2 linked regions of the Arabidopsis thaliana genome follow. The protein of the gene in region 1 interacts with the protein of each later gene in a pairwise test. Each region holds a gene or a part of one and is shown on either strand. Other genes may lie near its edges.

Evidence for each region.
Region 2: the proteins of LGO (region 1) and AT3G45700 interact in a protein complementation assay, tested with the Arabidopsis thaliana proteins (one large-scale study listed by BioGRID).

What each region holds. Positions count from the first base shown.
Region 1 is NC_003074.8:3,280,749-3,284,009, reverse strand, and holds LGO (LOSS OF GIANT CELLS FROM ORGANS), read left to right. Parts: upstream 1-1,878; 5' UTR 1,879-1,959; coding exon of another isoform or gene 1,960-1,989; 5' UTR 1,990-2,031; coding exon of another isoform or gene 2,032-2,047; coding exon 2,048-2,434; 3' UTR 2,435-2,704; downstream 2,705-3,261. Other genes in the region: AT3G10527 (uncharacterized protein), read right to left, coding at 1,960-1,989, 2,032-2,334. UniProt on the Arabidopsis thaliana protein: Probable cyclin-dependent protein kinase (CDK) inhibitor that functions as a repressor of mitosis in the endoreduplication cell cycle. Cooperates with SIM and SMR2 to promote endoreplication during leaf development.
Region 2 is NC_003074.8:16,777,124-16,781,806, reverse strand, and holds AT3G45700 (Major facilitator superfamily protein), read right to left. Parts: upstream 3,095-4,683; 5' UTR 3,043-3,094; coding exon 2,961-3,042; intron 2,879-2,960; coding exon 2,661-2,878; intron 2,159-2,660; coding exon 1,617-2,158; intron 1,544-1,616; coding exon 739-1,543; 3' UTR 539-738; downstream 1-538. Other genes in the region: AT3G45690 (Major facilitator superfamily protein), read right to left, coding at 3,657-3,908, 4,004-4,457, 4,531-4,683. UniProt on the Arabidopsis thaliana protein: Transporter involved in a passive nitrate efflux.

The sequences.
Region 1 (3,261 bases):
TCAGACAAGATCTATTTTGAATTACATAAATTATGATTTTATTGCAAGGAGTTTTTTTAATATAATTAATTATTATTACTATTATTACAAGTGCATTTTTAATTTGTAGGACATTGTGAGACTTTAAGATCAGTTGTTCTTATTTCTCGATTCCTTTTCCATTTACATTCCATTTAAATCTGGTATTGCTTTTAGACGATTCGTTTTGGCCAAAGTTTTAACAACCGTAAGTATATTGGACCACCGAAACTTCAACATCGATTATAATTGATGGATTCTAAATGCTACAGATTGTTTGATTGTGATCGTATGGTTTCGTGGCCTTACAAAATTACATCGACTTATCCTAATTCCTCATATACATATCTCTCTTTCCGTAAAAATCGAAGCAAGAAAACGTGTCAATGTCAATAAACAAAAAAACAAATTACAGTAACCAAAAGAAAAGAGAGAGAAGAACATAATAAGAGAGGAAGAAGGGTTGACAAAAAAAAGGGCCAGAGATTGAGATCCTGCGAGAGAGATCATATAGATCTTTCCATTTCTGTACTTTTTTAGTTAGATATTACCACTGACTCACTTACACAGATCTACTCTATATACAGTATATATCATCATCACATGCTTTTCTACGTGGCATGTCCAAAATATGTCATATTTTGCCGTAAAATTACTCAGCAAATGTAATAATTAATTACATAAATATACAGCTAGCTTAGCGAGTTTGTGTACATGTTAAGAGTACTGATAATTCTAAGAATGAAGACAAAAAGAACATCAACAACGTATAGCAAAGTATAAACTAAATTTATAATCGTACCAAATCTATTTTTCGGTTGTAATTTAATAATTAGATTTTGTAAACCAATGTAGATCTTACATTAAGTTGAAAAACGCAAAGTGTTTAGGATGAGTAAGCAAAGCAAACTCATGTTACAAGTCTAATAATTGTTCTATGGCATGGCAAAGGCTTACATTTTTTTCTACATTATTAAACTTGGCGTGTAAAACGTTGTGGGTCCACCGTATATGTTGAAATCATAATGTCACATAAAAATTATACAGCTTCTCACATTGGACATTAAGTAATTATTAAAGTAGAGGATACAGAAACTGATGCAATCAATTGTTTACATAAAATATAATGATGCATGGACTAGTTTTAAATCTAATCACATGCCATGTTTTTAGGTTTGTAATAGGTACAAGACACACATTTAACCAAACTTTATGTTTGAGATCTAAGATAAGACATTGATCTAAAATTTGTATATATATGTGTGTACTTTTCTTTACTACCTATAGATGGTATTACTATTACTTTGATGGTTCGAGTTTTTTTATTAAGTAAAAGTTTCTATATAGACACACTTTAATGTTCTTGTTGAGACCATAACCCACACGTCTTTAGATAGGAGACCGATGGTACGAGAACACCATTTGCGTTTGTTTCATGAGTTATGGCCCTCCTTAATTCACTCGCACTTCCAAACTTTAGAGTTTCATTTGTCTTTTGTAAACTTTTTGGGAAATCTCCAGTCATTTTTTTCACTTTTTTTTATTATTCAACAAATATTACAGTACAAAACTTAATATAGCTAGTCATCTTACTAAGGTCATCCCAAAGGTTTTAAGCAATCACTAACAAAATTAGGCAACCCTTACAAATTGTGAATCACATGTGCTCTAGCTAGTTTTGTACATAAACACAAATACATACAAACTATACAAGTAACTTACCATCCCTAGTAAATAATATATTTTTTTCTAAATTCGGAAGTTACGTCCATTTTCCCTTCCCATTTTATATAGTTTTACCTTACTTACTCCATACTATATTTTATATTTTATTTTCGTTTTCCATGCCAAAAAGTAACTCTCATTTCTAAATGCGACATTCTAACTTTATGTATGTATATACGTGTATGTAAAGACACAAACACATATAACAAACCCTTCTCAACCTCTCACTTCTCCAAGAAGTTTTCTCTACATCCACAAAAGAAAAAAAGTTTCCCAAAAAACAAAAACATACACAAGTTTAGATATGGATCTTGAATTACTACAAGATTTGTCCAAATTCAATTTCCCAACACCCATCAAGATCCGATCCAAAACCTCAAAAACAAAGAAGGACGAAGGTGATGACGACGAAGATGACCTCCGCTGCAGCACACCCACATCCCAAGAACACAAGATTCCCGCCGTCGTAGACTCTCCACCTCCTCCGCCGAGAAAACCCCGGCCACCACCGTCAGCACCGTCGGCTACGGCGGCTCTGATGATCAGATCGTGCAAGAGGAAGCTTTTAGTGTCGACTTGTGAGATAATCATGAATCGGGAAGAGATTGACCGTTTCTTCTCCTCCGTCTACAATGAGACGTCGACTACGGCTAAACGGCGGAGAAGTTACCCTTATTGTTCTCGAAGATGAGGCTTAATTCAATATTTACATTTTTTTACAGTTTTACTGGAAATATTGTGAAATTAATTATCTGTTGGTGTTCGGTTTTAAATATTTTTAATTTAATTATGAATATGGATGGATAATTTTCTGCAACCGCGCATATTAATTTCGCATGGAGGGGTCGATGTTGTAAATTGAGTAATAAATGAAATTTAATTCCAATTGCCAAGTTTTCTATACAATAATGTGATATTTATGTCATTTATAAGAGACAAGATCGTTTTATCATCCAACTTCATGGAAAAAATAGTTTCAAAACATATATTGTCGACTTCTAAAGTTGAAGAACGCGTTTACCTACTATGACCGATATGATGTAAAATATCCGCAGCCAATATGAAGGATCAAAATATCTCCTGGTAAAAAAAAAAATTGTGTTATATATGACGCATGCATGTATATGAAATCTTTGAACAAACTTTTGTATATATGTCGCCTGATAAAAAGTTATTTATCAATATATTAAATTACAGTGATGTTAGCTAGTGATCAAGCATTGCTTGCTTCATGAGCAATGGGTGGTACATGTTCTTTTAAATATAAAATCATTGCATTTATGTGAGAATATGATGGCAATCAAATCAAAAGATAACTATTACTCGTATAGTCTCAAACAATATAATGTCATAGAGTTTATTTTTTAATATACAAGTCGATATTTGTACATTTAACGTTTATTATGTTACTGTATCTTAGATTCCAATTTCATTCATCTAGGTTGAACCGAAAACGCTTTGGTACCTCTCACAATATATATTTTTCTCAGTTAGATAACTGATGTACATAAGAAATCA
Region 2 (4,683 bases), about 13 Mb from region 1:
CCGTATGTTGGTGTATATATGTTGTTAGATTTTGTTCACACAACCAATGTGGAATATCTATGTTAGATGATTAAGATTAAGTACAATACTAATTATCTCTTGGCCCTTTTAGTTATGTTGATTAATGATGAAAAATACTTGGGTTCACCCCTAGGGTTAAACGAGGTTAAATGTCGGTTTGAGTTTATTTCAAAAGGTTTGGGTTTAGAAAGTACGATTAGGGTTTAGTTTTATGATTAAACGGGTTAAATATTGGTTTAGGTTTATAAACAGATTTAGATTTTACAATTAAACGAGGTTAAATGTCGGTTTAGGTTTAGAAATTACGATTAGGATTTAGTTTTTTTACGATTAGATGAGTTTAAATGGCGGTTTGGGTTTACAAAGAAGAATTAGGGTTTAGATTTTGTAATTAAACGAGATTATATATCGGTTTGGATTATAATTATAGCTTTAGTTTATTATGTAATTTAAGTAGGAATTGACATTGCATGTTTTTTTTGGTTAATATAAAGGAGGTGAAGAATCCTTAAAAAAGCTAGCTAACAGCTCATGAGCTCTAATCGGTCCATTGGAGCTAGGATACTAATAATTTGAGGTATGAGTTTGATACAAATAACATTTATTGGTAAAAGTAAACACAAACGGCAAACAGTGAGTTTGCATGTAGCACATAAGTTAGTTGCATGAAGACACAACTACAATATAGAGAAAACGAGGACAGAACACGTTAGTGTCCTAGTTTGTAACATCTTTAAGATCTTGTTCATGATCATCATTCTTGAGGTTTCTGTATTTGTAAAACCAAGAGCAGACAAGGAAGTAGCCGAAATTAGAGACTCCTATAATGACTAATACCAAGTAAACATTGTCAACCCTTCCGTGGTTTATGTCATTTGGTAACCACTTGGTGGTCCTCTGGATCACATCGATAAGAGCTGTGCTCAGATAGAAAGAGATTCCCATCACCACCGAGGTCAATGAAGTCGCTGTGTTCCTTAGAGACTCAGGGAATTCTCCATAGAATATTGCAATATTTGCTGGAAAATGAAAGGCCTCACCTATTCCATTAATCACGAGAGCAGGAACCAGCCATAGCACTGACATGAGATGGCTATTTTCAACTGTTTTCAGCCTCTTTGCTTCAACAACGGCTGATATCGCCATGCTTAAGATTGTCAAAACGTGGCCGATCCCGACTTTTTGTAGCGGTGTCAGCGGTTTGCGGATTAGCTTCTGATACATGGGATAGGTAGTCCAGTTGTTAAGTATGATAAAGACGCATCCAGAGACGAGTGCTATGACTTGCATAGACCCAGCAGAGACTTTGAAGTGTGGGCCAAGTTTACGGTCCATGACCATAGCTTGGAGGACAGTCATGCTCATTTGCACCGCTAGGGGAGCGCTGAGGAACATGACAGATGTCCAGAGAGGGACAAGTCGGAGAACGGCTTTGAAATCTTCTACTTCCTGAACAGAGCATAGCCTCCACATGTTATTATTTGAGTCTCCTTCTGTCTTCAATGCTGCACGGTTCAAGAACCTGCATAATAAAAATCCCTCTTTATTAGCTCTCTTTTTAAGTTCCATGAATCAGGAAAGCTTTTTGTTTTCACCTGAAGCTCTTGGAGGGCATTGCAACATAAGTCTTGGTCTCTTTTTCGAGCTCGCGGTGATGATAGTCTTCGTCTTTGTATGAAATCACAGCCTTTCGTTTCATTGTAGCAGCGACTAAAACGCGAACTAGACTTGTATAAGGACTTCCCAAAGGTTGGTCATGCTCGTAGAGTCTCTTCCCAGCGACGAAAATGATGAAACTGATCAAGTTAGCAGCGACGCAGAGACCGAATCCAAGCTTCCAGCTAGCATTGTCCTGTGCATATACAATTGCTGTCGTGCCAGTAATCGCTCCACCATATAGTGTGAAAAAGTACCAGTTGAAGAACCTTCCTTGTTCTTTAGGTTTCTTATATTGGTTTGCACCTGCGGATGCCAAGATGAACCGCGTCCCAGCTGTTCCAGTGATCACTAGAGCTAAGGCTGCATACAAGATCCCAAGTTGTAGTTTTGATGGTGATTGGCATAAAATTGATCCCGTTTCACACGGTCTAGGTCTCAAATAGTCCAAAGATGCAATAAGAGTCAAGAGCGATATTCCCTGAAAAATGTTTCAAAACAGGTAAGCTTTTATATCAGAAGTTGTTTAAGAAAGCATTAGGCATGCGGTGACCTAGTGTCTAGCACCTAAAACGCTTAGTCGGATAACCTTAGGCAGTTTAGCCAGTTTAGACATTTATTACATAAAACATTAGAAATATGAGCTTATACTTAAAACATTATATAAAATACATATTAGAAAAATAAAAATAGAATATCGTAAACAAAGTATAGACAAAACATTTCTTTAATGTACATCAAAACAATATATGAACGATTGTAACTATGTATATAGAGATAAAACCTACTTGAAAATTAGAAAATGCACTAAAACTAGGCGTATATACATTTTAGGCGGTCGAAACAGTTGTTTAGGCATTGTCTGAGCGCCTTAAACTAGGTCTGTGTAATTTTAGGCGGTCAAAACGGTTGCCTAGTAACTGCCGATACCGTTTTTAAAACACTCATAACACATAAAAGAATTGGTGAGTGTTAAAACTTACAGTTAGAGAAATGAAAGCGGAGGCTGAGATGACAGGAATGTTCCCAAAAAAGGAATCGGCTAGGATGGCTGCGACAACAGGCAACATGTTGACAACTCCATTGACAATATTTGAAATCTGAACAGCTGCGATGCTCTTGATGTTGAATTCCTCGATCAAGAAGACGATCAAGTTCATTACCCATCCAAAATAAGTTATCGACATGCCTAACAATGTAACTGCACCACATAAAAACTTTACAATCATCAACATCTGTTTATGTTTTGAGTTCACATAAACAAAAGAGTCAAAAACACAAACCGAGCATGAACGGTAAAGTGATCCAGCCACCATGCTTGCTAGAGCGATGCGCTTCTTTGTCACCAGAGTCTGAATTAGCCATGGCAGAGAACAAGTGGAAGCAGGAGGTACTTTGACTTGTGTTTGAGTGTTATAATGCAGTTTAGATAACAACCGTAACCTATATATATAAGCAAATCCATATCAATTATTATATGTTGGTAGTGATCTTTTTTGGTGGCAAAAATTTCATATCAGATTCTGACAGTTCATCTCCTAGTGTCGTTTGCCAATATCAGGTTGGTGAATGTAATAAACAACTAAAAAGCAATCGCCCATATCTTGCCTTATCTTCAGTAGCAGTAAACCACTCCACAAGCATAAGAAAAGTATAAATAGACAAAGATTCAAGAACTTTAAATAAATTTTATTAAAATTTAATATACTCTCGACCAATCATTGAGTCACTTTTGTATGATAAGACCTTAAAATTATTAATTATGAATCAGGAAATACAGAAATGATTTCCTTTTTCTCCAACAAAAAAAAAAACCAAACCACGTTTCTCACATTTCAAACTCTGTTAGAATTAAGCAAGATAGTGAGAGTGGTTATGTAGTTGTTGAAAGAGTTTTTGTTGTCTGATTATTGTCATAAAAAAGGGTCTTTCAAGATGATCAAAACAACAAAAACCACAAGAACAGAACACGTTGTGTCTTAGGTTGTATCGTCTTTTGGATCTTGTTCCTGATCATCATCATCATTCAGGTTTCTATATCTGTAAAACCAAGCGCAGACAAGGAAATAGTTCAAGACTCCTACAATGACTAAAAGCCAGTAAACATTGTCAACTCTTCCATGGTTAATATCATTTGGTAACCACTTGGTGGTCTTCTGGATCAGAGTGATCAGAGCTGTGCTCAGGTAGAAAGATATTCCAATCACCACTGAGGCAATGAAGTCGCGGTGCTACTCAGAGACTCGGGGAATTCTCTATAGAATAATTCAATATTCGCCGGAAATTGGAACGTTTCTCCTATTCCTACTATCACAAGGGGAGGAACCAGCCATAGCACTGACATGGAATGGCCATTAGTAACTGTTTTCAGCCTCTTTGCTTCCACAATGGCGGATATCGCCATGCTTAAAATGATGAAAACGTGGCCTATACCGACTTTTTGAAGCGGTGTCAATGGCTTATGGGCTAGCTTCTGGTACATGGGATAGACAAGGCAATTGTTCATTAAGATAACAATACATGCAGTGATGATTACTATGACTTGGAGGGACCCGGCCGGGATTTTGAAGTGAGGCCCGAGACCGCGGTCTGTGACTAGAGCTTGTAATATAATCAAGCTTGTTTGCGTCACCATGGGAGTACTAACGAAGATGATGGCTAGTAACAGAGGGAGAACTCGGAAAACGGCTTTAAAATCTTCTACTTCTTGAACAGAACATAGCCTCCAGTTGTTATTAACTGAGTCATCTTCGGTTTTCAATGCTGCACGGTTAAAGAACCTGCACATGTAAAAGCTCTTTTAAGTTCTGTTTTAAGTTTGATGAATGAAGCAAGTTTTTTTTGTTTTTTCACCTAAAGCTCTTGGAGGGCATTGCAGAAGATGTCTTGCCTTCTCTTCCAAGCCCATGGTGATAGTCTTCTTCTCTAGATGAAATCACAGCTTTCCTTTTTCTTGTAGCAGCGACTACAACGCGGATCAGATTTGTGAAGGGACTTCCCATTGGT